6 linked regions of the Macaca mulatta genome follow. The protein of the gene in region 2 interacts with the protein of the main gene of each other region in a pairwise test. Links are inferred from orthologs where the notes say so. Each region holds a gene or a part of one and is shown on either strand. Other genes may lie near its edges. The genes, in order: SDCBP2, EIF1AD, GLYR1, BEND7, STX11 and STAT1.

Evidence for each region.
Region 1: the proteins of EIF1AD (region 2) and SDCBP2 interact in a two-hybrid assay, tested with the Homo sapiens proteins (3 studies listed by BioGRID and IntAct). The two-hybrid records come from large-scale screens. The link is inferred for Macaca mulatta from reciprocal best matches to the Homo sapiens genes EIF1AD and SDCBP2.
Region 3: the proteins of EIF1AD (region 2) and GLYR1 interact in binary tests that used the Homo sapiens proteins (3 or more experiments, as listed by UniProt). The two-hybrid records come from large-scale screens. The link is inferred for Macaca mulatta from reciprocal best matches to the Homo sapiens genes EIF1AD and GLYR1.
Region 4: the proteins of EIF1AD (region 2) and BEND7 interact in binary tests that used the Homo sapiens proteins (3 or more experiments, as listed by UniProt). The two-hybrid records come from large-scale screens. The link is inferred for Macaca mulatta from reciprocal best matches to the Homo sapiens genes EIF1AD and BEND7.
Region 5: the proteins of EIF1AD (region 2) and STX11 interact in binary tests that used the Homo sapiens proteins (3 or more experiments, as listed by UniProt). The two-hybrid records come from large-scale screens. The link is inferred for Macaca mulatta from reciprocal best matches to the Homo sapiens genes EIF1AD and STX11.
Region 6: the proteins of EIF1AD (region 2) and STAT1 interact in binary tests that used the Homo sapiens proteins (3 or more experiments, as listed by UniProt). The two-hybrid records come from large-scale screens. The link is inferred for Macaca mulatta from reciprocal best matches to the Homo sapiens genes EIF1AD and STAT1.

The regions. Positions count from the first base shown.
Region 1 is NC_133415.1:82,838,594-82,843,074, forward strand, and holds part of SDCBP2 (syntenin-2), read left to right. Parts: intron 1-2,867; coding exon 2,868-3,026; intron 3,027-3,573; coding exon 3,574-3,749; intron 3,750-3,827; coding exon 3,828-3,999; intron 4,000-4,481.
Region 2 is NC_133419.1:8,415,110-8,420,373, reverse strand, and holds the start of EIF1AD (probable RNA-binding protein EIF1AD), read right to left. Parts: upstream 3,216-5,264; 5' UTR 2,969-3,215; exon of another isoform or gene 2,052-2,968; 5' UTR 1,965-2,051; coding exon 1,878-1,964; intron 1,743-1,877; coding exon 1,634-1,742; intron 1,248-1,633; coding exon 1,139-1,247; intron 971-1,138; coding exon 923-970; intron 315-922; coding exon 170-314; 3' UTR 1-169. Other genes in the region: BANF1 (barrier-to-autointegration factor), read left to right, coding at 3,556-3,581, 4,301-4,439, 4,692-4,838.
Region 3 is NC_133425.1:6,108,624-6,113,904, reverse strand, and holds the start of GLYR1 (cytokine-like nuclear factor N-PAC), read left to right. Parts: upstream 1-2,261; coding exon 2,262-2,299; coding exon of another isoform or gene 2,300-2,695; exon of another isoform or gene 2,696-3,308; coding exon 3,309-3,345; intron 3,346-4,328; exon of another isoform or gene 4,329-4,357; coding exon 4,358-4,437; intron 4,438-5,281. Other genes in the region: uncharacterized protein LOC144337857, read right to left, coding at 1,790-2,695. UniProt on the Homo sapiens protein: Cytokine-like nuclear factor with chromatin gene reader activity involved in chromatin modification and regulation of gene expression. Acts as a nucleosome-destabilizing factor that is recruited to genes during transcriptional activation.
Region 4 is NC_133414.1:15,042,132-15,046,612, reverse strand, and holds part of BEND7 (BEN domain-containing protein 7), read left to right. Parts: intron 1-2,328; coding exon 2,329-2,670; intron 2,671-4,481.
Region 5 is NC_133409.1:49,410,339-49,415,506, forward strand, and holds the start of STX11 (syntaxin-11), read left to right. Parts: upstream 1-2,031; 5' UTR 2,032-2,126; intron 2,127-2,551; exon of another isoform or gene 2,552-2,858; intron 2,859-5,168. UniProt on the Homo sapiens protein: SNARE that acts to regulate protein transport between late endosomes and the trans-Golgi network.
Region 6 is NC_133417.1:96,038,715-96,043,195, reverse strand, and holds part of STAT1 (signal transducer and activator of transcription 1-alpha/beta), read left to right. Parts: intron 1-711; coding exon 712-790; intron 791-1,864; coding exon 1,865-1,956; intron 1,957-2,171; coding exon 2,172-2,323; intron 2,324-4,481. UniProt on the Homo sapiens protein: Signal transducer and transcription activator that mediates cellular responses to interferons (IFNs), cytokine KITLG/SCF and other cytokines and other growth factors.

The sequences.
Region 1 (4,481 bases), on a different chromosome or scaffold from region 2:
CAGCCTCTACCTCCCAGGTTCAGGTGATCCACCCACCTCAGCCTCCCGAGTAGCTGGGACCACAGGTGCACACTACCATGCCTAGCTAATTTCTTTTATTATTGTTACTTTTATTTTTTGTGGAGACAAGGTCTTGCTATGTTGGCCAAGCTGGGGCTTGTTTGTAGTGTTTTGGGAGTTCTTTATATATTCTAAAGTCCTTCGTCAGAGAAGTGGTTTGTATTTTCTCTCAGTCTGTAGCTTAAAAGTTCTGAATTTTGATGAGGTCCAGTTTATTGATTTTTTTTTCTTTTGTGGTTTGTACTTTGCAAAGAAATATTTACCAAGCCCTAAGTCCGAAAGATTTTCTCCTTCATGTTCTTCTAAAATTGTTATAGTTTTATGTTTTGCATTTAAATTTATGATTGAATTTGAGTTAATTTTTTTGTAAGGAGTTAGGTTTCAGTCAAAGTTCATATTTTTGCCATGGTTGCACCATTTGCTTTTTTTGTTGTTTTGTTTGTTTGTTTGTTTGTTTTGAGATGGGGTCTCACTCTGTCACCAAGGCTGGAGTGCAGTGACATGATCTTGGCTCACTGCAACCTCTGCCTCCCGAGCTCAAGCGATCCTCCCATCTCAGCCTCCTGAGTATCTGGAACCACAGGCACTTTCCAGCACACCTGGCTAATTTTTGTATTTTTTGTAGAGATGAGGTTTCACCCTGTTGCCAAAGGCTGGTCTTGAACTCCTGACTTCAGCTGATCTCCCCGCACTGGCCTCCCAAATTGCTAAGATTACAGTTGCGCCCTAGCCAACACTATTTGTTGAAAGCACTCTTGCAAAAAGCAGTTGACTTTACTCATTTGAGGCTATTTCTGGATTATCTACTTTGTTCCACTGGTACTTGTCTGTCCCTTCACCAATACCACACTGTCTTGATTACTGTAGCTGTATAATAAGTCTTGAACTTTGGTAGTGATTCCTCTCGCTATTCTTTTTGTCAGCATTGTTTCAGCTATTCTAAATTCCTTTGTCTTTTCATATAAAGTTTAGATTAACCTTGCCTGGATCTGCAAAACATCTTGTAGAGATTTTGATAGAAATGGTGTCATATCTGTGTATCAATTTGGCGACAATTGACAGCTTCACTAATTCTTTCAACCCACGAATACAGAGAATCTTACATTTATTTAGGTCTTCTTTGATATCTTTTATCAGTATTTTGTCGTTTTTAGCATACATTTTCTGTATGTGTTTTGTTAGAGTTACACGTATTTCTTTTTTTTTTTTTTTTTTAAGTTTTGTTGAGTTTTTGTTTTTAACAGAGATGGGGGTCTTACTTTGTTGCCCAGGCTGGTCTTGAACTCCTGGTCTCAAGTGATCCTCTGGTCTTGGTCTCCCAAAATGCTGGGATTATAGGAGTGAGCCACTGAGCTCGGCCTTTTTTTTTTTTTCTTTTTTTTTTTTTTTTTTGAGTGATTGTAAGTGGTATTGTATTGTATTCCTTTTCTTTTCCTTTCCTTTTCTTTTCTTTTGTTTTTCTTTTTCTTTTTTTTTTTTTTTTTTTTTTTTTTTTTGAGATGGAGTATTGCTCTGTCACCTAGGCTGCACTGAGCAGTGGTTCAGTCTTGGATCACTGCAACCTCCACCTCCTCGGTTCATGTAATTCTCCTGCCTCAGCTACCTGAGTAGCAGGGACTACAGGTGTTTGCCACCAGCCCAGCTGATTTTTGTATTTTTAGTAGAGAGGAGGTTTCATCAGTTGCCCAGGCTGGTCTTGAACTCCTGAGCTCAAGTGATCCACCTGCCTCGACCTCCCAAAGTGCTGGGACTATAGGCATGAGGCACCACGTCCAGCCTGGTGTTGTATTTAAAATTTCAGTTTACACGTGTTCGTTGTTAGTATACAGAAGTACAATCGAATCTTATACGTTAATTTTGTATCCCAGGACCTTGCTAAACTCTTTTATTTGATCTAGGAGTTTATTTGTAGATTCTTTGGGATTTTCTAGTAGACCATCATGACACCTATAAATAGGGACCGTTTTGGCCGGGCGCGGTGGCTCAAGCCTGTAATCCCAGCACTTTGGGAGGCCGAGACGGGTGGATCACGAGGTCAGGAGATCGAGACCATCCTGGCTAACACGGTGAAACCCCGTCTCTACTAAAAATACAAAAAACTAGCCGGGCGAGGTGGCGGGCGCCTATAGTCCCAGCTACTCAGGAGGCTGAGGCCGGAGAATGGCGTGAACCCGGGAGGCGGAGCTTGCAGTGAGCTGAGATCCGGCCACTGCACTCCAGCCTGGGCTACAGAGCGAGACTCCGTCTCAAAAAAAAAAAAAAAAAAAAAAAAAAATAGGGACCGTTTTATTTCCTCTCTTCTGATCTGTGTGACTCCCCCTCTTTTCTTGCCTGCGGTGCTGGCTAGATCTTCCAGTACCGTCTTTAATAGTGTTGGGAGAGTGAAGTTCTTTGCCTTTTTCTGCGTCATTAATTTTTATATTTTTACATTTTTTTCAAGACAAAAATCCAGTCCTTTTATCCCCTGTTGCTCACTGTTTACTGTGACTTTTTCTATTTTAAGTGGGGTTTAAAGGAGTCTTTTCCTGATGCCAATTTCCCTTGGAAAATGAAGGGCCTCTTCCCGTATCCTTGCCCCTTCTCTCCCCATTGCCCTGCCTTTTTAGGGGCATGGACTTTGACGCCCCCTAGTGGCCGCGTGGAGCCACGTCTCCTCTCGGCCCTAGGGGAGAAATGTGGACTGGGGATGTGGTGGGACCCGGGGACGGCTCCATCCTCCTTTCCCCATCCTTACCCCCACCCCAGTGTCTCCTGAGGCACAGGGTCCCCACGGGCCGGGCTGACCCCCTGCTCCCTGGTGTCTGCAGACAGCGGTCTCGGGCCCCGCGCCTGGCCAGATGGTAGCACCGGTGTCCGGGTACAGCCTGGGCGTGCGGCGAGCAGAGATCAAGCCCGGGGTGCGCGAGATCCACCTGTGCAAGGACGAGCGCGGCAAGACCGGGCTGAGGCTGCGGACAGTCGACCAGGTATGGCGCGGGGGCTGGGTGGGAAGAGGAGCTCGAGCTGCACGCCCTTTCCCGCCGGGCCTCAGAGCTCAGAGGTCCGGTCCGCAGTAAGGAAGGTGCAGAGCGCCTCCTAACCCCACTGGCCAGGCTCTTGCCCCCAGTCCCTCCTCCCCGGGACTTGGGCGAGGCTGGTGCTGGGTTGCGCAGTGCCCTCCACTGGAGGAGACTCCCTTCCCCACCAGCCATTCACTGCCCAGGGCATCTAGCTTCCAGGAGACGGTGTAGACAGCAGATACCAGGGAAACCCATGCCTTTGTGAATGGTCCAGTAGAGTGTTTGGGGGGTGCAGCTTCAGGCCAGGATTGAAATTCTGACCCACCTCCTTCGTAACTATGAGGCCTAGAGTGTTTCCTCCCAAGTAAATGGGGTAATCTTGGTGCCCGCCATGCAGAGCTGTGCCCCTGGCACTCTGTAGGCTCCTGGAGTATCAGGAAAACAACAGCTTGGAAGAGGGATCTGTGCCTAGGGTGGGCCAGGGACGCTGACTCTGGGACCCTGCCTCCCCCAGGGGCTCTTTGTGCAGTTGGTCCAGGCCAACACCCCCGCATCCCTTGTGGGGCTGCGCTTTGGGGACCAGATCCTGCAGATTGATGGGCGTGACTGTGCTGGGTGGAGCTCGCGCAAAGCCAATCAGGTGGTGAAGAAGGCATCACCCGAGAAGATTGTCATGGTGGTTCGGGACAGGTGAGTAGCCAGGCCTGGGCAGCCTCTCCGTCTGACCCCGGCCATGTCCTCAGGTCAGCTCACTGTCTCTTCCGCCAGGCCGTTCCAGCGGACTGTCACCATGCACAAGGACAGCATGGGCCATGTCGGCTTCGTGATCAAGAAGGGGAAGATTGTCTCTCTGGTCAAAGGGAGTTCTGCGGCCCGCAACGGGCTCCTCACCAACCACTATGTGTGTGAGGTGGATGGGCAGAATGTCATCGGGCTGAAGGTAGGCCGGTGGTTGCACCGGGGAGGGACTGCTGGGTGGTGGGAGGGCTCAGGTCTATGGGCAGCTTGCTTACCCCACCTGAGCCTCAGCGTCCTCTTCCGAAGGTAAGATGGTGTTCATAGGGCTGGGTGCAGTGACTCACGTCTGTAATCCCGGTGCTTTGGGAGGCCAAAGCAGGAGGATCACTTAAGTCCAGGAGTTTGAGACCAGCCTAGGCAATGTGAAACCCTCTTTCCACAAAAAAGCTAAAAAATTAGCCAAGCGTGGTGGTGCACGCCTGTAGTCCCAGCTACTCAGGAGGCTGAGGTGGGAGGACTACTTGAGCCTGGGAGGTCAAGGCTGCAGTGAACTATGATCATGCCACTGCATTCCAGCCTGGGCAACAGAGACAGACCCTGTCTCCAAAAAAGAAAAAGACAGTGTACCTAGAGCTCTGAGCACAGTGCCAGGCACATAGTAGGTGCTTAATAAATAGTAGCTAT
Region 2 (5,264 bases):
TCACCAACCCACCAGGGGTTTAATTCTCCTAATCAAAACATCAGTTCAGAGAGGGGCCCTGCTTTGTCCCCATCCAGGGATGAAGATCTGCAAAGCACCCTGGGAATGTCCAAGCCCAGAAGAGCCAGGGGCCCATCCCTGAGCAAGTGGAAAAGTGGGTCCTGGAGTCTCAGGTGGCCTCCTCCTCTTCGCTCTCCTCCTCACTCTCATGATACTGTCTGCGGTTTGTGTTAACAAACAGGTCAGAATCATCTTCTGAGCTGGACTCCTCTCCTGATAACTGTGGCTCAGCTGGGAGTTCTGGTTGAGTTTGTCTGCACGAAGGGAAAAGAGCAGAGTTAGCCCAGCACCTTCTGAGAAAACCAGATCTACAATCAAGGAGTTCCAAAAAAAGGAGGACCATCCGGCCCAGCAGTCAGGGCCCTACAGCACCCTTTAAAGACTAAAACAAGGGACAGAGGCAGAGCAAACAGTGGGGAAACTTGGCTAGAGAAACAGGCTAAAGACTGACCCCAGTCCCCAAACATGTGCCACAGCCATTTGTTTCAGTCAGGAATAATGATTCTACGACCACCAACTAATGCTTAATGAACCCGCATCACACACCAGATGCTGCACTAAGCAATTTTACAAGCCATCCACTTCTTTAATCCTCACAATGCTCCCATTTTATATATAAGGAAAATAGAGTTGGAAGGAATTAAATGACGTGCTTAAAGTCATTCAGCTTTAAGTGGCAAAGCCAGGATTTTAACCCAGAGAATCTGACCTTCAAGCCACATTCATAACTATGTACCACATACGTAGGAGCTCTCAACAGATACCCTATGTAAGGAGGAAAAAAGGCTCTATTTTTCCCTCAAGGCACCAAAGCATGAACCCCTTATTTTCCATGTGTCCCACCGCAAGGCTTGTTTCTCACCTGTTCCTGTTGTTGTGTTTCTCAGCCACTTCAGAGAAGGCCTCAGGCCTATGCCAAGAGATGAGCAAAGTCAGGGAGGACAAATCACTTTCTCACAAAAGAGCTGTTTCCAGCTGTCTCTGCCTGGGATGCCATGACCTTCCCTCCCCTAATTCCCAAGCTAGGAAGGCAATGCCTTCAGAAGCCAGAGAGTCAGTGATCAAGGGGACCACCTACCAAAAGCCCTCCTTCTGCAGGGAGCGCACGTGGTCCTTGCAGAGCACAAACGAGATCTCAGCCTTCACCTTTTCTCCCTCTTCAATGGGGTCAACAATGAGAAAGTCTCCTGTAGGTAAGAAGAGAAAAGGCAAAGTCAGGCCTGCCTGCAATAAGGAAAGCCAAAGCCATAGGAAGTGGTTCTATCTCCTAGAGAGGGCTGCCTCTCTCACCTCCCTGTCTCTCTTTTTTTCTTTTTTTTTTGAGACAGGGTCTTGCTCTGTTGCCCAGGCTGGAATGCAATAGCATGATCATAGCTGACTGCAGCCTCCACCTCCCAGGCTCAAGTGATTCTCAGGCCTCAGCCTCCCGAATAGCTGGGATCACAGGCACGTGCCCAACTAATTTTTTACTTTTTGTAGAGACAAGATCTCATTATGCTGCCCAGGATAGTCTCAAGCGATCCTCCCACCTCAGCCCCTCAAAGTGCTGGGATTACAGGAGTGATCCTCTCACCTCTCTTGATCCAGATGTTCTTGCGGTATTTAGAGGGCATGCTCACCAGGAAGCGCTGCCCTTGGGCTGTCTCCACCTCATGCAGATTGTTCCCTGGGGTCCTGAGTACCTGGTTCAGGAGAGACCAAGAATCAGTCTCATCGGTCAAACACTCTCTCAGCCACGCGCACCCTGCCACCACCCCAGGGGCCCTCCAGGGCTGGAGGGGTGGGGAGCAGAGCAGCTTGTGCCCAAAGCCACTCACCCTGACAATCTGCTGCTGGTCGGAGGGCACGATGTGCTCCCCCAGCACCTCCTTCACCACATGCTTCCTCTTGGTGGCCTGAGACATGCTGAAGTTGTCCCAGGGTGGTTAGGAACGAAGAGACTGTCAACTCCTCCTCCTGAGTTCCTTGGATGGCAGGCTCAGAACCCAGGACTGTTCTGAAGATGGGGAGGGGCCTTTTACTGAGGGGTGACACGGTGTCTTGGTTAAGAACATGGGCTCTGAAGTCTAACTGCCTGGATTCAAATCCTACCCTCATTTATTTCCTAACTATTCAACTTCTCTAGGTCCCAGAAAAATAACAGCTAACTCAGCACTGTTACAGAATGGGACAACAGTGCATGTCATGTAAAAGTAACTCCGGCAGGGAGCTGTGGCTCACGCCTGTAATCCCAGCACTTTGGGAGGCCGAGGCGGGCGAATCACGAGGTCAAGAGATCCAGACCATCCTAACACGGTGAAACCTCGTCTCCACTAAAAATACAAAAACTTAGCCGGGCGTGGTGGCGGGCGCCAGCTACTTGGGAGGCTGAGGCAGGAGAATGGCGTGAACCCGGGAGGCGGAGCTTAGAGTGAGCCGAGATCGTGCCACTGCACTCCAGCCTGGGCAACAGAGAGAGACTCGGTCTCAAAAAAAAAAAAAAAAAAAAAAAGTAACTTCTACAATCTTAGGTACTGGTGTAATGTAAAACTATAGGAAAGTTCCAGATAAATCATCCTGGCAACCTCTCTGGAAGGAGTTTGAAATAAACCGTATCTTTCTCAACACGCTTGTACACCCCAAGTCTGGCACAGTCACACAACAGAGAAGTTCAGTCTGGCAACACACTACAGCCGGAGACAAATTAGGTGGCCACCGTGATGGTCCAAGCCAGGAACTAGTTAATTAAAGGTTGAGGTGAGCAGGCTTGTCTGCGACATCTGCATTTTTCTGACTTGCGTACTTAGAAGACGAGGACCAGCACCCTTAAGACTGATGGTTTCCGAAGGAAACACTGTCATCTCTAGTTGCCGTTCTCCTTCCTCCTCCCTGTCTATCCCGGAGAAAAGACCCTCAGAGAAACACCCACACTCAGTCTCTGGCCCTGGGCTCCCAGGAACGCTGCCGGAGCAACCCCGCTGTCCAGGCTGGACGCTGAGAGAGGATCGTCCACGACTCACTTCAAGGCTGAGCCAAGAAAACACAGTAAAGGAACTTGCCGGCGGCCGCGACGGTAGCGTCACCTCGAAATCAGGTCTCCAGCGTTCCCAGTTCCCACCAGTCCCACTGCGAGGAGTGCGACGTGAGTCTGAGTCGGATCCCTCCGAAAACCGTCTTCCGGCGCTGTCTCAGAGGCCTCCCGGCCACCCGTCCCCTCCCTTGTCCGTCTTCTAACTCTTCCCTACGCCAGGTCGGTCAAGCCTAAGTCCTTGAGTTCCGGGTCCGGGCAGCACAGAAAGGAAGTTCTCTCCCTGTAGGCCTCTCTCCCTCAGAACTGCTCGAGGAGCGAGACCTCAGAAGACAGGGCTTCCCGCGAAGAACCGGAAAGGAGCGCCTACTAAGGACGCCGTCGAGGTCCGTGGCGCCTCAACTCTATAGCTCTAACTGGCTAGAAGGGCCCAACGTGGAAGGTTTTTTTTTTTTTTAAAAGGCGGCTGAGGCGACCCGGAAGCGGAAATGGAAGAAAGTTCTAGTGGCTTGACGTATCCGCGGGAGCAGCAGGGTGGCGGGAGGAACCGTTACGGGAACTGAAGCTGCCGGTGAGCGCGAGCCGCGGAGCAGGGCCCTGGCTGGAGGCCAGAGGGATTGCGGGGAGAAGGGGAGGAGAGGGGCCGCAGGCGCTGTGGCGGGCCCTGGGGGAGAGTTTGGCCGCGCTGCGGGGAGGGGGCGGGGTGCGGCGCGTGGAAGCCGGGCCGCGGGAGGGGGCGGGCCGCGGCTGCGCGCGATGGGGGCGGAGCTGGGGTGCGGCGTGTGCCCCGTGGACGCGTAGCGGGTGTGCGCAGCGCTCGGTGTGCGCTTCGCCCTGTAGGTAGAGACTCTGGTTAGCTTTCCACGCCAAGTGGCTGTTCCAGGCAGTCAGTACCTTCTTGGCTCAGCCAAGGTCACAGAGGGAGTGACAGCTTCCGGGCAGCCCTGGCTACTGACTCTGGGAATCTTCCCACTGCCCCGCTTGCGCCACCTGTTAGGCAAGATTGTTTTTCTTCTGGGGCAAGATCAAAATCCAGGTCCTGCAGGAAGAAACTCCTTTTCAGAATAGTAGGGAAGAGTCTCCCTGGATCTCGGTTTTCTCCTTTCAGGATGAGGGGGATAGAGCAAGCCACCGGAATCCCTGGCTTGGCTGCCTCTTACTGTGAGATTGCTAGTGGGCTCTTAGGAGTTCCAGGTCTTCAGCCCTAATCTGCCTTTCTTTTGGGATTCCTAGATTAAGCCTGATCAAGATGACAACCTCCCAAAAGCACCGAGACTTCGTGGCAGAGCCCATGGGGGAGAAGCCAGTGGGGAGCCTGGCTGGGATTGGTGAAGTCCTGGGCAAGAAGCTGGAGGAGAGGGGCTTTGACAAGGTGTGGGGTGGCCGCCTGTACCTGGTGCAGGCGGGGGTGGGAGGGAAGTGAGTCCATCTGCTAGGGGGTGGACAGTGGGGTATAATCTGAAGAGGCTGCCAGAGCCTGGGCACCTGGTGGAGAGGAGATGGGGGCAAAACCCACGCTGCTTCTTGGGCTTGTGTACTCTGAATGGCACAGGAATGGCCGCCTTGCTCTTATCCCTCACTGAACACTGAGCAGCACACCCCTTCCTTTTTCCCTGTTTTGCAGGCCTATGTTGTCCTTGGCCAGTTTCTGGTGCTAAAGAAAGATGAAGACCTCTTCCGGGAATGGCTGAAGGACACGTGTGGCGCCAACGCCAAGCAGTCCCGGGACTGCTTCGGATGCCTTCGAGAGTGGTGTGACGCCTTCTTGTGATGCTCTCTGGGAAGCTCTCAATCCCCAGCCCTCATCCAGAGTTTGCAGCCGAGTAGGGACTCCTCCCCTGCCCTCTACGAAGGAAAAGATTGCTATTGTCGTACTCACCTCCGATGTACTCCAGGGTCTTTTGGGAGTTTTCTCCCCTAACCATTTCAACTTTTTTGGATTCTCGCTCTTGCATGCCTCCCCCGCCCTTTTTCCCTTGCCAGTTCCCTGGTGACAGTTACCAGCTTTCCTGAATGGATTCCTGGCCCCGTCCCTCACCCCCCACCCTCACTTTCAGTCCGTTTGATACCATTTGGCTCCTTTTTGGGCAGAACAGTCACTGTCCTTGTAAAGTTTTTTAGATCAATAAAGTCAGTGGCTTTCATGACTGGGCTTTGTGCACTGAAAAACAAGTGGGCTGGGAGTTGCCTCTTCTCC
Region 3 (5,281 bases), on a different chromosome or scaffold from region 2:
TACTGAGAAAATACTAGCCTTCCTTGTCCGTTGATTATTCTCAGGAATTTTATGTTTTTTCTTACCGTGCATATATATCCTTTTAAACATTATATTTTCAAACTGGTTATTGATGAAACAGAAAAACTAAATTGTGTATTCCAACTTATAATGAGTACCCTTCCTGAATTCTTATTTTAATGGCTTTTTTTTTTCCCCCAAAAGAGGCAGACCTATCATCCATGGAAATAAGAATTCTGTCTTCCCTTTTCCAAAAATTGCATTTCTTATTTTTGTTTCCTGTCTTATTGCACTGGCTAGAACTTTCAGGATATTAGGCAATACATTCATATTATCTAATAGTGGCAGAAATGTACCACGTTTCTGACGTTAACGGGAATGCCTCTAGGTTTTGGTGCAATGTTGATTAAAGATTTTTTTTTTTCGTGGGGGAAAAGTCTCGCTCTGTCGCCAGGCTGGAGTGCAGTGACATAATCTGAGCTCACTGCGACCTCCGCTTCCCGGCTTAAGCGATTCTCCTGTCTCAGCCTTCCGAGTAGCTGGGACTACAGACATGTACCACCACGCCCGGCTAATTTTGTATTTTTAGTAGAGACGGGATTGACCGTGTTGGCCAGGCTGGTCTCTGAACTGCTGATCTCAGGTGGTCCGCCCGCCTCGTCCTCCCAAAACGCTGGTATTACAGGCTTATGCCACCATGCCCAGCCAAGATTCATATTTTTAATTAAGTTATTAAAACATCCTTCAATTCCTCACAAAGTAAGAATTTTTAAACAGGAACATGTTATTTTTATCAAATTATTCCCTAGTATCTCAAATACGCTTTCAAAATCATTTTGTCTTAAAAATACATACACAGTAAAATGACAGTTCATGAAGTTAATTCTTGGTACTTCAGGGAAACTGATCTCCCAAAAAAAATCAGGCTGCGGGACGACCCAGTACGCTAAACACCGACTTGCAACCGAAACCTCTAACCACCAAAATGCCTTGGGGAAACGCGTGGGGACCCGCCACCTTTTCCAGCAGGCTGGAACTCAACAAGAGCCCGACACCAAGTCTAAGTCATTCCTTGACACTGTGGAGTCTGTGATCAGGTCTGGGATCTTTTGCAAAACTGTGTTTCTACCTGGTCTGCTGAAGTTTGGGCCGGCGCTGCGCTCAACCGCAGCTAACACTTCCCACTTCATGGTTCAGTTTTCAAGTGTCCAAACTACGCCCGGCATCTGTCTTCCTGTTGTCACAACTTTTTCAGAAGTGCCAAACTACGGCAAGGCTAACGGGAGAGCCCGGACCCGACAAAGACACGCACCTTTGTCCCCAGAGCCGACGCGGGCCGCAGACGTCCCCCCGCGGCGGTCCTCATGCCGGTCCCCGGGCGGCGGCGCAGCTAGCGGTCGGCTCCCGAGCCGTGGCTCCCTGCGGGCGGGCGGCCCGCGCCTCGGCCCATGACCGGGTCCCCGCGCCCAGGGGAGCCTGGTGTGCCGCGCCGCGCGCCGGCCCAGGAGGAAGCGAAGAAATGCCAACTCGACGTCCGTACAGCCACTCTGAGGACACCAAGGGGTCGGGGGAGCAGCCTCCGGGCGCCCCGGGAGAACTTGCGGCGCGGGACCACGCGCTCAGACGGCGCCTCCGAAAGCGGCCGTCGGGAGGAGCGCTCCAAAGAACACGGGCGGCAGGAGCAGACGGGCGCGGACACCAGGGCCTCCCGGTCTGCGGCCAAGAGGAGTAGCCGGGCGCCGGAGCCCAGACCCGGCGGAAGCTGAGTTCCAGGCCGCGCTGAGCTCCGTCACGGGAGCTCACGGGCGCAGCGACGGGGCCGACCAGCGCCTCGGGCTCGGGAATGGCCCCGGGGCCCGCGCAGGACCAACGGCCGCAACGGAAGCGCCGAGAGGGGAGGAGCGCGGAGTCCAAGGCCCGGGGGCGGGGCAGGCCGCGAGGCCGGCTCCCTCTCGCGCTCAGCCGGTCGCACCGTCGCCGCCGCCGCCGCCGCCTCAGACCGCGGACGCTTCGTTGTCACGAGCCGGAGGGAGGGGGAAAGAGCCGGGAGTCTCTGCGCTCCGGCGCGCGGAGACCGCGGCGCTCGCGTCACGTGCCGCTCGGCCAGCCAATGATCCCCGACAGGCGCGGTGACGTCGGAGCAGCGGCGTGGCCGATGACAGCCGGCCCCCATCACGTGGTCGAACCCACTCCAATGGGCGGCGCCGAGGCGACCTGCTTGTTCCCGGCGGCCCGTGCGTCGGCGGTGGTTGGGTGGTAAGATGGCGGCTGTGAGTCTGCGGCTCGGCGACTTGGTGTGGTGAGTCCGGGCGGCCGGGCCAACCGAGACGCGCCGGGGAGCTGCCCGCCAGGGTGCGGGGTTCGCTGCCGGCCCCGGAGCTGTCTTTCTGTGCGCTCCAGGTCGCGGAGAGAGGGGAAGAGAAGGTGCCGGCGCTTCCGAGCGGCGCCGGGCGGAAGGGGCAGTCCAGTCCCGGGGGACCGAGGCCGAGGGTGGCCACGGCGGGCAGCGGCTTTGATCCCCGAGGCCGCCCGGGAGGGTTCTGCACTCGGGGCCCAGATACTGGCGGCCCCTGAGAAAGGACCCGCCAGTGCCGCGAGGCTTCCTTGGACGACTTGTTCCCGGGGTCTTGCTGGGGCTTCCCAGAAAGCAGAAGCGCCGGGGACCGAACCTGCGAGTCCATCTCGCCGGTGCCATTCGGTTAAAGCCCAGGTTGCGATGCAGCCGACCTGTGCGGGCGGCTCAGCCGGGATTGTCTAAACCGGACTTCTGGCGTTGCCCCGCGAAGAAACGGCGGGGTAGTTCTTTACAACCAATGGCTTGGCAGTGACCAGTGCAGGCTTGGGTGCACTGCTTCTCTGTCCCAGACAACCGCCCGAACCAAGGCTGATTGTCGCCGCCTCCCTCGAGCTGCATAGCTTGTTTCTCCACCCAGAGGAAGGCTTCCATTAGCATTTGTCAAAGCCAGGCAGGTCTCCTGTTGAATTAAACCAGACTTAGGGAGGGAAAGTCTGTGTTTACAGAGGAAGTTGTCCTCCCACCCCCGTCATTAAGAAGCTCCAGACAAGTGACTTTTGACAGTTGTGTTGTTTTGTATTCCTTGTCAACAGAAGAATGGTTACACGTTGTGCACATAAGTATACAATTTTGCATTTTGCTTCTGAGGGTCTTGGGCCCAGCTGTGGAAGCTTTTGTTCCGCCACTTGAGGATGCCAGCAGAGATTTAGGAAAATAAATTGCGTACTGAGTGGGTTGAAGGAGATAGGCTGACTTTTCCAGGTCGAGTGTTAACTCTGTGTTTTTTCTCTAGGGGGAAACTCGGCCGGTATCCTCCTTGGCCAGGAAAGGTGAGTGTGTTGCTACTAAAGGAAGATATCTGAAGTTGGGTTTGAGGAGGTGGAGAATGTAAGATGCATTCCTCTCAGTTTCTAGTATTGAGTTAAACTGGGCCCATTCAGATGGCACTTAGAATTTTTTTTCTCCTAGTATCAGTTATTTTTTTTAAAGGCAATGCAGTATATTCCAGATCATTAAATCTGCTCTAAACGCTTATTTCTTGATTTAGAGAAGGTTTATGAAGTTTCTTTTTTAACCCCGGAAATAATTCTAATCTGAATTTAGCTTTATGCTTAAATGTAACAAAAGGAGAAGAAAATATAAATTATCCAGGAAGAGAAATCTAAATGTAGGTTAGTGAAAAGCCAAAGTATTTTTGTCCCAACTAAGTTTAAATCTTCTTTCCATGTTACCATATGTGCTACTCCAGTGCCTCTTTGCAGAAGTTGGCATTCCAGATTTTGCATGAGGTGATCCATCATTGCTTTCCAAATGTGTTTTTATATTCTTGCTTGGAGCCCAGGAAGTGTCTTTAGATGGTCTCTTTGCAATATGGTGTTTTCTGTGCCTCAGTTGTCCTTTGTTTTCACTATGTCCTGTCTCAACTCTTCCTGCACAGGAAGTATTTCAAAGAGGGTCCTCTGCTTTTTTTCAGTAATGATGGGGTCACATTGGGGCGGGGCAGGTTGGTGGGGGGCAGGAGATGTTGTTGATCTTAGTTTTAACTGCTTGTAAAACAGGGCCTCTACAGTGAAAGGGATATTGTGTCTGCTGAGCACTGTGCTACATGTTAAATATTGGGAACTTGTAGAATATCTACACATTTCCACAAATCTCTAGAAAAATGGGAGATTTAGACAAGTACTAGGCCTTGGGTTCTGTTTTGTATATAAATATATTTATTTGTAAGTCATTTTAATTTACTTTTTTCTTCCCAACATAGAGCTGTGTAGAGCAATGTGGAGCCACTAGACAGTGGGCTGCGCGTTGCCAGCCAACCTTTTTCCCCCTTTTATCCTCCAGATTGTTAATCCACCAAAGGACTTGAAGAAACCTCGTGGAAAGAAATGCTTCTTTGTGAAATTTTTTGGAACAGAAGATCAGTGAGTAGTATTCACCAGGAGTCTCCCTTTACCTTTCTTTCTGTGTTACCTGGAGTCTGAGCTGCTTTGAAAATATTCTAAGGATCCTTAGTTCAGTCTTCTTATAATGTATAATACTGGCATCTCATTCTGGCTTCATACCTAAATAAAGGTGCAATTTCTTGCAGAAATTGCCCTAGACAACTGTCCTAGGCCTATAACTAAGTCAGGCAAGAGCTAGGTTCATTTACCTTCTAAATGTAATAATCACATCGAAGTAGTTTCTCACATGTTTCTTTACCCAACTCCAAAGGCAGTTCCTTTTTGTTTGTTTTTGAGACAGGGACTTACTCTGTCACCCAACCTGGAGTGCAGAGGCACAGTCTCAGCTCAGCACAACCTCTGCCTCCCCAACTCAAGCAGTCCTCTCACCTCAGCCTCCCGAATAGCTGGGACCACAAGTGTGCACCACCATGCCCAGCTGATTTTTTGTAGAGGGGGTTTTACCGTGTTGCCCAGGATGATGTGGAACTCCTGGACTCAAGCAATCCACCTGCCTTGGCCTCCCAAAGTGCTGGATTATAGGCATGAACCACCACCCCCAGCTGGCAGTTATTTTTATAAAAGCCATGTTCAGTTCTCTTTTAATGCTATATATCATTGTGGTTCATGCATGAGGTATACAATGAAAACTAAAATTGTATTTACCTTAATGAAAGTAATTGTTCAATCCTGTTCTCATTTGTAAAACTAAGTGATTTGTTCTGACATTATTATAGTAGGTCTTTTTGCCGGATCTGTCCTAAGTTGGGGAAACCAGGACCATTAATCTGAGACTCTTTGACCATATAGCATGTTGCAGTGA
Region 4 (4,481 bases), on a different chromosome or scaffold from region 2:
TCATTCATTCTCATAAAGTCCGGAATATGATTTATTGTTTATATATTGTAAATTTCACAGGGGTTTGAAGTAGAAATAGTTTTTTCTCAAATTAGAATATGTCTCCTCTCAAGCATATGCCAACAACACATAGCAATATTGTAAATTTGGAAATCTGTGTTATTTCTGTGTTTACCCATGTTCAGTTAGACAGAATTAATATATTCTGTAATGTTTTTAGTATCATTTTAAAAAACTAAAGATATTTACTTCAAAATGGTGAACAGTAAATTCAAAATAACCTTCCTTATTTAGTAACATAACACATGTATTAATAAGCTAAATATCTAACTTGAAAGCACAAAATGGCTAGGTTATTGTGCAGTTACCAGTTCTACAGCGAAACTTCGCTTATATGATCCTAAGTGCATTAAAACATCATTATATTGAATGTGCTGTATTTATTTGTAGGAGCTGTATTTTTCTTAACAGATGCTGTCTGTTAGCCTTTTCTTTTTCTTACAGTTTAAATTTCAAGCATTTATTAGAGTAACTGCATGAATGTTTACACGCACATACCCTGGCCTAAGAATTTTTTTTTGTTTTGTTTGTTTTGTTTTTGTTTTTTTTTTTTGAGACAGGGTCTGCCTCTGTCACCCAGGCTGAAGTGCAGTGGCATGATCTCGGCTCACTGCAACCTCTGCCTCCAGGGCTCAAGCAATCCTTCTGTCTCAGCCTCCAAGTAGCTGGGACCGCAGGCACACACCACCACGCTGGGCTAACTTTTGTCCTTTTTGTAGAGACGGGGTTTCTCCATATTGGCCAGGCTGGTCACAAACTCCTGAGCTCAAGTGATCTGCCCATCTCAGCCTCCCAAAGTGCTGGAATCACACATGTGAGCCACCATGCCCAGCAGTGGCCTAAGATTTTATTTTATCTTCTGGGTTTGAGGAAAAAAAATCCTTTTCTCTTCATCTTCATGAAGATATTGGCTGACGCACAGTTTAAGAAGATAATGTGTTTGAAATAGCTCCTAATAGATATCATTATCCTTTGATATTATTATTGATAGAAAAGATTTTCTTTCTTTTTTTTTTTTTTTTTTGGAGATGGAGTTTTGCTCTTGTTGCCCAGGCTGGAGTGCAGTGGCGCGATCTCACCTCACCACAACCTCCTCCCCGCAGGGTGAGCTGGGTTCTCCTGGCTCAGCCTCCTGAGTAGCTGAGATTACAGGCATGCACCACCATGCCCGGCTAATTTTCCATTTTTAGTAGAGACAGGGTTTCTCCATGTTGGTTAGGCTGGTCTCGAACTCCCTACCTCTGGTGATCTACCCGCCTCGGCCTCCCAAAGTGCTGGGATTACAGGCATGAGCCACCGCGCCCGGCCGAAAATATTTTCTATCTGTACAATATTATAGACATCTTTAAGTAATATTTATTAAGTACTCCCAGTGCAATATAGAAGTTCTTTAATTTAAAAAAAATTCCTGAGTTGGGAGAAAAATCTTTAAAAAAAGAAGTCAGTGTAGGTGAGGTGGGATTTCACAGTTGCCTGTGACCTCTCACACGTAGTTACGCTGCAGGGGAGGTGGCAGTGCGTTTGGCATTGGGGGGAGGGCGGGGTGGGGAGGCTGCACTTCCGCCCTTCCAGTGCTGGTACTGCCAGTGACCTCGAGTGGCAGGGACCCCTCGGTCATCACCAGGTTGATGTGATGGGAATCGGTGCCAGAAAGACAAAGCCCCCTTGCTCGCCATGCTGCCACACTCAGCGCCTCTCTCTCTCCTCGGCCATCCTCTCTGAAGGTGATGTCTCCAGCGGCAGCAGCGTGTCATCCTGGAGGACATTGTGTCAGTAGTGAAGCCCTGCATCCCTGCCAGTCCAGGCTTGCTTCCTTGTCCTCGCCCCGCCTGCTGAAGCTGACAAGACAGCAGAGCGCGTTAGTGACCTGCCCGTTCCTCACGGGTGGCTGTGGCACATCAGAGTAGAGGGGTTCCGCTGTCCAGTTCTATCCTTGACCTTCTGTCTCAGCCTGTTTCCTCATCACCTTCTCACTCAGAAAATGCTTCCAAAGAGGGAATGTGATGTTTGTTCCTGATGACACACTCTCAAGAAACCTCTTTTATCATAGGAGACTTGCAGAGATTAAAATGAGAGGCACCAGGAATATGGTGGGTTTTTTCAGACCGTAGTCAGTTTTCCTGCCTTTGCATTTTACAGATTAAGTGTATCGAATCAGTCATCTTATTTCCAAAGAAGGGTTGTTTTTTCTTTCTCTTGTTTTTGGTTAGTGAACTGTTTTTCTTTTTCACTAATTTAGAGTGCTAACTTTGGCCCTGTTTCCATTAGGAGATGAAAGCATGGAAATAAAAAAGCAAATTACAGGGATGAGAAGATTGCTGAACGACAGCACTGGGCGGATCTATCAGCGAGTTGGCAAAGAAGGAGAGAAACTAAAAGAAGAGCCCCAGGACCTGGATTTAGTCTGGCCTCCGCGTTTGAACTCCTCTGCTGAGGCCCCACAGAGCCTCCACCTGTCTTCACGTGGTGTGTGGAATGAGCTACCGCCCCAGAGTGGACAGTTCTCAGGGCAGTATGGCACCCGTTCTAGAACCTTCCAAAGCCAGCCCCACCCTGCTGCAAGCTCCAATGGTATGGTTGTCAACAAACATTCAGAAGGCTCTCATGGGGGTTTGTACCATTGTGTTTTATTTCTAAATATTCAGTGTGTTGAGTTCAATTTATTAAACCCTCCCATAATTACCTGCCTTTGCTGAGTTACTTTAAAAGACAGGGAGACACAAAGGAAAGAGTTGAAGACTATTAAAAAACAGAATTGAGAATTAGGAAAGACAGGGGGTTCTATATTATAAGTGAAGATTTCCTGGTAGAGATTTTAGCCCTTTAAGAAGTAAAAGCGATCATTTTGTGCCCATATACAGATATTACTGTCACAAAAAAAACAAACATTAGGGCAGAAAGAGCTCCCCATTGTCTTTAAAAGAAGCTTCCTGGTCCTATGGTGTGTTACTAACATATCCTCTTGGTTACTCCTTCACCTTTCTCATTATCAGAAGAGTCCCAGATAAAGGCAAGGGCGGGGGAGGGTCAGTGATAATCCAGCATCCCACACCAGTACTGAACCCCGTGATCCATATTTTATAACGTGCTTCATTAGCAATGGAAAGTATTCCTTTAAAGTAAAATTTTCTCAATTTAAGTTTCCTAATTGTTAAGAAAAGAATCAAATGACAATTTTTTTTTTCAAAGCTTAAGAAAAAAACCTGATGCTTTTTGTGGTCATATTAGTTTTCTATCCAGCCACATTGGATGCTATAATATTTGTTCTAAAACTATGTAGAGATGTGCAGATCTCTGTTTTCACAAAGAGAACAAGAAAAAGGTAAGAAAGCATTTTCAGTTTCCTAAAGAAGTTAAGGATTTTTTTCCATTCGTTTTCATTTCACAATATCGTTCAAGAAAAAGAGAACTGTTTTGACTTTTTTTAAAACCGCAATTTGCGGTTCAGAGGCGTGAAAAGCCATCCTGAGACATTGATGAGACAGCGAAGGACCCCAGAGATGTATGGGTGTCTTCTCTTTCTCTCAATATTACATAAGCCAGTATCAAAGTTCCCACGCTGGCATGCATCCAGGTTAGAGGGACACAGCTCTTTAAAGTCTCCTCCATAAAAATAAAAAGTCAGTTCTCTTTAAAATTAGAAAATGATTTATAACAAGCTGAAAAGGGTTGGTTTTGTCCTCTAAAAATGATGAAGATGGTACTTAGAATAGTGACTAGAAATATTCTTTAAGACCTTCCTAACTCTACTACCATGGAAGAGACAATAAGAGAAATAAAATACCCTTAGGTATGTGTGAAGTTAATAAACCCCACATCAGTAAGTTTTGGGTAAACAGTGTTCAGTTTCCCAGTATACAGCAGCAACAGTGGATTTACCTTGAAAAGTATCAAGTTAGTAAAAGTTGCAAACATAAATTCCCCCATATCAGTTTGAAAATAGATATTGATTTTATGTTTTCTGTAGAAATATGGCTAGGCGTGGTGGCTTACGCCTATAGTCCTAACATTTTGGGAGGCTGAGATGAGTGGATTGCTTGAGGCCAGGAGTTCAAGACCAGCCTGGCCAACGTGACGAAACCCCATCACTACTAAAAAATACAAAGCCGGGCGTGGCAGCGCATGCCTGTAGTCCCAGCTACTTGGGAGGCTGAGGCGTGAGAATCGCTTGAGCCTGGGAGGGGGAGGTTGCAGTGAGCCAGGATCATGCCACTGCACTCCAGCCTGTGCAACAGACTGAGACCCTGTCTCAAAAAAAAAAAAAGAAAGAAATACATTACATATAACTGTGACTACTTTGGTATTTAATTGGGATTATTTACAATTTTAAAGTTGTAACATTACAATCTTGCTACAATTTTGAATGTAAATAATTGTACCACTACAGTCACTAAGTTATCTTGAAGTATTTCATGGTTTTG
Region 5 (5,168 bases), on a different chromosome or scaffold from region 2:
AACCTTGATTCTTATTACTAATGAAAGTCCACACTTTATTTAGATTTCCTTAGTTTTTCCCCAAGTCCTTTTTCTGTCCCAGGATCCTATCCAGGATACCACATTACATTTCGTTTCACATCTCCTGAGTTTCTTCTAGGCTGCAGCAGTTTTTCAGACTTTCTTTATTTTAATTTTTTTGTAGAGACAGCATCTCATTATGTTGGCCAGGCCAGGTCTCGAACTCCTGGCCTCAAGCAATCCTCTGGCTTCAGCCTCTCAAAGTGTTGGGATTACAGGCGACAGCCACAACGTCTGGACTGTACTTTCCTTACTTTTGATAACCTGACAACTTTGAGGAATATTGGTCCAGTATTTTGTAAGATGTCCCGCTGTTGGAAGTTGTTTGATATTTTTCTCATTATGATACTGAGGTTATGGTTTTTGGGGAGGGAGACCACACAGGTAATATGCCATATTCATCACATCATGTTGACTACACGCCATCAATATGAGTCATGATTGTTGACGTTGACTTAGAACATCTGGTTGGGGTAGTGTCTGTTGGCTTTCTCCATTGTAAAGCTACTCTTTTCCCCTTTCCACATTGTACTATTTTGGAGGAAGTCACTGTGCACAGCCTAGGGTAGATGATCTACATAAATTATTTGGAATTATTCTGTATAGGAGATTTGTCTCCTCTCTGCCATTTATTCATTTATTTATTTATTTATATCAGTGTAGACTCATGGATATTTTTTACTTTGGTTTGTAATCCAGTACTACTTTGTTCAGTTTACTTCGTTGCTCAGTGGTTCCATCTTTGGCAACTGGGAGCTCTTTCAGGTGGTTCCTGTGTTTAAACATTCTCCCATCAAGACAGGATTCGTTTATTTTTATTTTTTATTTTTTTTCTTCTCATTCAATTGAGGCAGCGTCTCATTCTGTCGCCCAGGCTGGAGTGCAGTGGCGCGATCTCGGCTCACTGCATCCTTGGCCTCCCGGCCTCAAGTGATCCTCCCACCTTAGCCTCCCGCGTAGCTGGGCTCACAGCGCGTGCCACCACGCCCAGTTAATTTTTTTTTATTTTTTGTAGAGATAGGCTTTCACCATATTGCTCTGGCTGGTCTCAAATTTCTGGGCTCAAGAGATCCGCCCCCTTCGGCCTCCCAAAGTGTTAGGATTACGGGCATGAGCTACCGCGCCCGGCCCGATTTTTCCTTTCTTGAGTATCACTTCCTTACTTTTCAGCCTCAGCCTTGTTTTTCAAGGTGCTTTACCATCACCTGACACAATCCACACTTTATGTTTATCTCTCCCCGTTAAAGTGCCGGGACCTGGAGGGAGGGTCTTGGCAGTGTTTTTGAGCGCGGTGTTATCCTGGGAATACAAGGGGCCGCTCAGTTGATATCCAGGGAATGATGAGCCTGGCGGGTGTTGAGGCCGACTGGAGATGGGTTGGCCGGCCGGGTTCTGGGAAGGCTGTGCTCGGCCTCTGTGTGACCGCAGGCTCCTCGCCCGCCTCCTCGAGGGTCCCGCGGATGCAGGACCTGCTGCAGCCTCCGCAGCCACACCCACGCTCAGAGACCGCTTCCAGCGTCCTTGCCGCAGAAACGCACCGGACTGCAAATGTCACCGGCGCAGCGGGGATTCCCGGGGAAAGTCCATCGCACTCCCTGACCTGGGGACCAGAGGATGAGCGGAGGAAGTGTCTTGGGCGGCTAACATCCCACTCCCTGCGCCGGTCTGCGCCGCCCCCGGGAACGCCCCGGGGCTCGCGGGAGGGGCTGGAGCGAGTCCCCGGCTCCGGGCGGTCCCGAGCGCACGGACTCCGGGTGGGGCGGGAACCCGTGCTCTGTGAGCCGGCTGCTGCCGCGCCCCGGCGCTGTCATCCCGGGGCGGGGCCTGGTCCCCAGCTGTGGTAGCTTCCTAAGCGGCGGGGGCTGAGCCGGCGGCGCCCAGATGCGGCCGCGGCGGCGCGGAGCTCGGGCGGCTGTGGAGGAGCCCAGCCTCGGCCGCAGGAGGCGCCGGGAGCAGAGCCGCCGGGAGTCGCGCAACAGGTTTCCTTCCCCATCGCGGCGCCCACAGGGGACGCGCGCCCTGCGGGGAGAGAGGCTTCTCAGTTCGCGCTCTCGTTCCGGGTCCAGGTTTGTTTTTCTCTCCCTGAGCCCCCATTTCTCTTTCTGACCCCCCATTTCTCTTCCTGACCCCCCATTTCTCTTCCTGACTATTCCCCGTGCGCTGAGAGATCCGGGAGGCGGGCGGGGGCACTGTCTGGGCTCGGGACCCGCGGCTGCGCCTTAGTTGGGATTTTGGATCTGGCGCAGGTCCTCACGCCGCCTCTGGGCACCTTCGGAAACACAGGATTGGGTTCCTCATATAAAGCGGAATGATTTTTTAAAATTACTTTTAATTTCAGAGGCTGAGGGATTTAGGATTTAGTGCTTCACAGGAATTATTTTAGGGATACCTGTCGGTAGGCTGCCTTTTTAAAGTGTCCACCTAAGACTATTTTATTTTAAATCGAAAGACTGAAGTGTTTTTGTGTTATCACCTCTTCACTTCCTATTAGGGTGACTGTGTCAAAAACACCAGAATGGGTACTTCTTGACTTGAACTTGGCAGTGTCACTCAGTAGCCAAGAAAGACGGAGAAATTGATAGAGCCTTGGAGCAGTCCCTTCGCAGCCCACGTAAGACTTTGTTTTAGAAAAATGGAGAGAAGTAGTGGCAATGCCTGCGAGAACCACGCCGTCCTGAGAGGGAATTCTGCCTTTTTCTAGACTCCGCTGACACCAGCTGAGATCTGTATTACTTCCTGTGGTTCTCACGCGCTTGTTTCAGCCGTTTCTCAGCAAAGGGAGGAGCTGTTATTTACAGGTATCCAAAAATGAGTCACAGGGCTGCTCTCTTAATTGTGAGACTTTGTTAATGAACTTTTGAAAAGCGAGGCTTGCTCTGTCTGTATTTAAAATGAGACTGTAGATGTGAAATGCCTGCCCTGCTGACCTGGGGCAGTGGTATGGGAAGTGACGATTGAGTTTTCAGTTTCCTAAGGCGCCTGATGTTACAACATGCCAGTAAAGGTCACTGGGTTGATTTAAGATAACCACTAAAATCATGTGCTTTGCCTCAGAAGCCCAGGAGAAAATTAATTTCATTATTCAATGACCATTTTGCTACCATTTTCACTGAATAGTAGAAATGTATCATTTAATGTGGTGATTGTAACTCTCTAAAATCAAAATATTTCAGACAGTGTGTGTTTACTAAATTGATGCCAAAACCACATGGTGCTTTTTGAAGCGGGTGGGTCCCAGCGGGAGCAGAGAAATTTAAAAGTTGAAGCTGACAGGCCCCACTGTGGTGGGTAGCAGCACCTAGGAAGGGACTGCACACTATCTCAACACGGTAGAGAAGGGAGCACCATCTCTACTGGAGCTGAGTTGAGCTGAATTCAGTCCCAAACAACAGTTAACAGGTACTTTCTCTGTGCCAGCCTCTTCCCTGAACCTTGCTTGTACAACCATGAATAATAGGATCCTGCTGACAAGGTGCTAGGGTAAATCTATACCCAGAGTGAAGTTTCTGTCCCAATATAACTCAATCTGCTGGGTTCCAGTGTATTTAAAGAGTAAACTCAGCAGATTACCATCCCTAGATCATTGCAGTCACCTTTAGTTAGCAGCGTGACTTTTAGGAAATGGTATGACTAATTAATAGGTTGTTTTGTTTTGTTTTTTGAGACAGAGTCTTACTCTCTTGCCCCACACGGGAGTGTAGTGGTGCAATCTTGGCTCACTGCAACCTCCTCCTCCTGCGTTCAAGCAATTCTCGTGTTTCAGCCTTCCAAGTAGCTGGGACTACAGGCACCCACAACACCCAGCTGACTTTTGTATTTGTAGTAGGGACAAGTTTGGCCCTGTTGACCAGGCTGGTCTCGAACTACTGACCTCAGGTGATCTGCTTGCCTTGGCCTCCCAAAGTGCTGGTATTGCAGATGTGAGCCACCATGCCCTGCCTAATACTTTATAAATTTGTAACACTATATTGAAGCAAGTTTTTGATCATTGTTTTTGTAGTTCAAATCAATGTTTTTTAGCACATTATAGCCTTGTGAGCCAAAATGAATAAATCTACCATATCACAGTTTACTGTTACAATTGAAATCTGCTGAGACACTTTTGAACTTGATGCCCAAGTATCAAGGTTTCCAAGTTTCCACAGTTTGCTAAGATATCCAACTAATAAAGGCAACACTGCTAAATTTCAGACAACTTTACCTTAATTTCCAAACTTTATTCCTCCTTTGAAAGCCCTGAAGTTACTTTTTCTATGACAAAGGGTTGAGTGTGTCATTCAGCATTGTACTCCCTGAACTTGTCCCAGGCTCGACTCATGAGAAGTGTTGGAAAGTGTCATTCAGCATTGTACTCCCTGAACTTGTCCCAGGCTCGACTCATGAGAAGTGTTGGAAAGTGTTTATTGATGAAATAATGAACCTTCATGTAGGAGGATGAATTGGCAGGCAAGTGGAAGGCTCAGTGACCCAGCAGAAGGAACAGCACCCATAGAGAAGTGAAACAGCACTGGACATTCAGGAAACTCCAGCCTGTTTAGTGACAGCACAGAGCGAGGGCTGGGGAGACAGGAAGGGCCAGATCACAAAGGCCCCATGAGGGTTTATAGTACTGAGCCCTTTGAACAAGTGAATGATATTGTCAGGTGTGTGTTTAAAAAATTATAACAAAAATTGGAATTTAAAAAATCTTAGATTAGATGACAGTGGCATTGACTTTAGGGAGACACCTTGGAAACTGTTGTCATATTGCAGATGGGACATTAAAGAAGGCCTGAATCGAGCAGTGACAGTGCAGACGGGAAAAGAGGAAAGGGGCTGGTAGAGGTTTAATAGGTGGAACCCAGTCGGGTGTATATTTAGAAGTGGGCAATGAGGAGGTGGGAGAAGTTAAGATGACTCCCACATTTCTAATGAATGACTAGGATAAGAATATCCTACTCAGTGGAAGAGTAGATTTGGGCTAAAGGGTGGTGAGAAGCTCACACAGTACTTGGCACATAATCAGTGCTCATTAAGATTTTTCAAATGAATGTCAGTAATAGCTAAAATTTGTTGAGTACTTATTATGGGCCACACACTATCCTAGGCTCACTATGCGCATTAAGCCT
Region 6 (4,481 bases), on a different chromosome or scaffold from region 2:
GTAACACCAGTATGGCCTTGACTGTATGCCTCAGACAGCATCTTTCGAAACTCCACATTCTTCGGAGCAACTTTATCCTGCGGTCTCCTAGGGAAGCATTTCATTAAAGTAGAAACCGAGTGAGCCCAGTCCAGAAATAGCCATGGAAATCCAGAGAAGAGTATGTGGAAATGTGACCAAATCTCAAACAAATGATGCTTATTTGTAGAATGCACATACAATTTATTGTCCAGGTGGAGATGCATTTGAGCTGCCAAGAGGGCACTGTTTATAATTATAGCAAGTATGAAACCAGGTCTGTCCCAGTAAAGCTGAGATGTATGGTCACTTATTTGGAAGGAATGAGGAAATTTTCTATGAGCTTTTCCCCCCACTGCTGTGGGCTTCACAATGGAGTTTTTAAATAATCTCAGAGGTAGTCTCAAAATGATGAGGAAGAATCAAAATTTAGGTGCTGGAACCAGGTTAAGGACATACAAATCAGTTTGAGAATTATTGTATGTTGGCTTTTTTAAAAGTGTTATTACATACTTATTAATGAAATAGAAATTATTTCATGTGTATGATTAGAACTCTCCAAATCAGATCTCTTTTTGAGGGAGCTGGAATTGTTTTCATGTTTCTCTGGGTTTCATAGAAGCAATACTCTGTTGCCTAAAGTATTTGGAAGTTGCTGATCAGTAGAAAACATGTTTACATCTTTATTTGTAGTGTATAGAGCATGAAATCAAGAGCCTGGAAGATTTACAAGATGAATATGACTTCAAATGCAAAACCTTGCAGAACAGAGGTAAGGGTTCACAACTGAAGTGGTGCCCATTGGCTGTGATTTTTTCTGTTTACACTAGATAACGAAGATGATTACTCCTTTCTATTTGCCGAGTATTTTATGACTCTGAATTCTTCCTTGATAACCCAGGCCAGGATTTCTTAACATCCAATACTGTTGACATTTTGGGGTAGCTAATTGGTTGTGGGGGCTGTCCTGGCATTGTAGAATGTTTAGCAACATCCCTGACTTATACCCACCAGGTGCCAGTAGCACTACCCAGGAGCCCTCACTAGTGACAATCAAAACTGTCTCCAGAGATTACCAAAAGTCCCCTAGGGGTCAGTGACCCCTACTTGATAACTACTGGTTATGTGTTACTCAGCTTATTTATTGCACCTAGCCCACTGACACAGACTGACACAGAGTGATAGATATGTGGAGTTCCCCTGCCCTGATATCTCAAGTTTCTTCAAACATGGCGTGTCCACATGTGTACACTGCAGATGAGCTCATTATTTTTCTCATGTTTTAAAGCAGTTTTACTCTATTTTGTTACTGTTGATGTTTTTAATGAGAGTAGCAACAGAAAAGAACTCAAGAATGTGCATTGTGTGGAACATGTAAGGCACTGCTGTTGCTGTATTCATCATCTGGGGTATAGCATGGTTCATAGGCAGAGATTATCAGTATGATTTAGGTAAAAAGTATGAGAGACAGCAACTTCAGCTACCGCTTCCTAATCATCTGCTTCTCTTTGAAAGCTACAGATACGCTTTGTATACATTTTTTACCTGAAGTTTTGAATTCTGTTATTTACATTTATTTAGGTAATTACCTGACAGTGTCTTCAGTGGCAGATACTACTATGTCTGATTTACATGGGCCACTGAAAACAAGTATTTTGTTTCAGTTTGCCTAGTTGTTATACTTAGGACTTTTTTCATGTTTAATAAAGATTGAAGAAAGCCAAACTTTGACCTGTCACTGGGCAGCATTTGTGTCATCTTTATCCTATATTTATATGAATCTTGGCTTTTGTTGGTTTTGTCTTCTTTATATAAATATATTTACTGGCTGTCTCTCAATTTATAGAACACGAGACCAATGGTGTGGCAAAGAGTGATCAGAAACAAGAACAGCTGTTACTCAAGAAGATGTATTTAATGCTTGACAATAAAAGAAAGGTAGTTATTTACTTTCCAGAACAGCATGCCGCTTTTGTTATAGACTGTAAATAATGGAATCAAAATTTAGAAGAGAAGAAAAATTATTTTTATAACCTCCTGGCTTAGAGCCCCAGTTGAGAATGAAATGATATTTGCTTTTCTTTTAAAAAATATTTTAAAATTCAGCGATTAAAAATGAGTTTATTTCACTTTGTTTCTTCCACTGCCTTTAGGAAGTAGTTCACAAAATAATCGAGTTGTTGAATGTCACTGAACTTACCCAGAATGCCCTGATTAATGATGAACTAGTGGAGTGGAAGCGGAGACAGCAGAGCGCCTGTATTGGGGGGCCGCCCAATGCTTGCCTGGATCAGCTGCAGAACTGGTAAGATTCTCCAAAGCGGAAAACTGGCAGCTGACTGGCTAACCACATAAACTCATAAATGCACCTTTGAGCTGTGTTAGTTGAATGGACCCTGTTAAAACGTTGGTATAGAGTTTGACGTAATCCAGCTTCTGCTTACCCTGGAAACACTCCCTTGGAAAGCACAGTGTTATTCATGACTCTTGCCACGTTCAGCCACGTCTACTTGGTTTGGATCACTCCTGTACCATGGGATGTGTCGTTTGACTGTACAGAACATCAGTGACATGGTCATTATAGAACACATTTAACAACTTGACTCCTAATGTTTCATTTAAAACAAGATAGCTCGAGGCATTTTTCTAGGCTTACAGAATAGTTTGTTAGGAACCATTCATTCAGTCATCCATCCAGTAATACTTATTAAATGCCTACTGTGTGCCAGGCACTGTAGGACCTGGGCACACAAGGATGAATGATTCTTCGCCCTTGCCAACAAGGAGTTCTCAGTGTGGAAGGGGGATGTAGACATGGTAATAATTCCGTACAGTGAAAGTTTCCAGGTGCTCTAGCAAAAGGCCATCAGAGTTCTGTGGAGGACAAAGGAAAGCATCTCCAGGGAAGGTTTCATAGAGGAAGTGGCCTTGTGCTGACTCAAAAGTGACTAGGGTTACTCCATATAGATCAAGGGGAAGTACTTTTCAGCACAGAGCACATGATGTGCAAAGGCACACACGTGGGAGACTGAAGGGACTGTATTGGGTGGCGGGAGAGTGAGGTGTCAGGGGAGACGGGAAGGAAAGTGGACCCGGCGGGAGATGCTGGAGCCTGATGGTGCAGGTTCTGAGCACCATGCTCAGAGTGTGGGCCGTATGCTGCTGTCCTGCTGAGCCAAGGCAGGCTTTTTTCTTAAGCAGGAGATGTATTTCTCTGATCTTTGATTTAGAAAGGGTGCTCTGGCCACATCCTGGAGGATAGGATAGAGACAGAAAGACCAGTTGGAATACTGTTAGCATATTAGTGTGGTCCAGGTGAGGGGCAACAGGAGCTGAACTTGGGATCAGAGAGTGAACATGAGGGAAGGTGGCCTGGGACAATTGCTAAGGGTCCAAGGACCAGAGATCTCATGAGGTTATTTTCTATATTGCCAATTTTTTAAAAATCACAATTAATATTCAGCCATTTATTTTTATTCTGTGAATTGCCTGTAGGTACCCCAGGTTTCTTGTGGGTTAGAGCAGAGCTTCTGAGCCCAGTGCGCCCCATGTGCCTTGAGGGATACTGACACCCCTAAGCCCTTCAGGTGGTCAGGGAGGCCTTGGGGTGTCTAGAGCCCCCTAGTGGTCCTCTTAGACCACAGGCGCCTCTTGTAGGGACACACATGCCCTCTAGTTTTCCCACTGTGCTGTCTAAGGATTGTCATTTTCTCAGTGTGCAAGCAGAGTTGGGGACACTGGTTTAGCATCTCCTCTGGAACTTAGCCAGCCATGACCCTGCCTGCTCCTTTCCTGATGAAGGGCTACTGTCCCAGGGCTTTGAACTGGAATCGAGTAAAATCATAAAGTGAAGTAGATACTTTTCCCAGGGAAGAAGACACTTTTAAAAGGTTTTCTTCTGTCATTACTGCAAGCGAATAAAATTGCGTTTCCCCAGCCTGTGTTACCGTTAGCAGTTGACTGTAAGGAAGGAAGACGAAGAGCAATCACTAGGTTTACTCACTAGCTTTCTATTTTTAGGGTCTAGACTGAGCATATTGCCTTCTCCTTTCAGTTGAGTAAAGCCAGAATCATCGTTCCTTCCTCTCTTCCTGTCCCCGGCCTTGCCTCCCCTCTCTGTGTCTCCTCCTGCCCCTCAGCTCCACATCTCTGACTGGTCCTGCCGAGACACTGCTTGCTGATGCCACTCTCTTCACAGAACCTGCAGTGGCTCCTCGCTGCCTCTTGCATCACCTGGAAGCATCTGCTTTGCTGTTTTCCCTGCCTCTGGCCTCCTCTTTGCCCTGCGCTGGTCACAGATCACCTAGAAGCCCTGCCCCCACCCATCTCTCCTTACATAAGCTTCAGTGGTGTGAAGAAGTTTTTGATCTAGGCTGTACTCAGTGCATGTTAGTTTTACTCCTCAAATAACAAAGCTTCTACTGCTGGCACAGGCCTCGTTCCCTTTGTTTTTCCATAGAGCG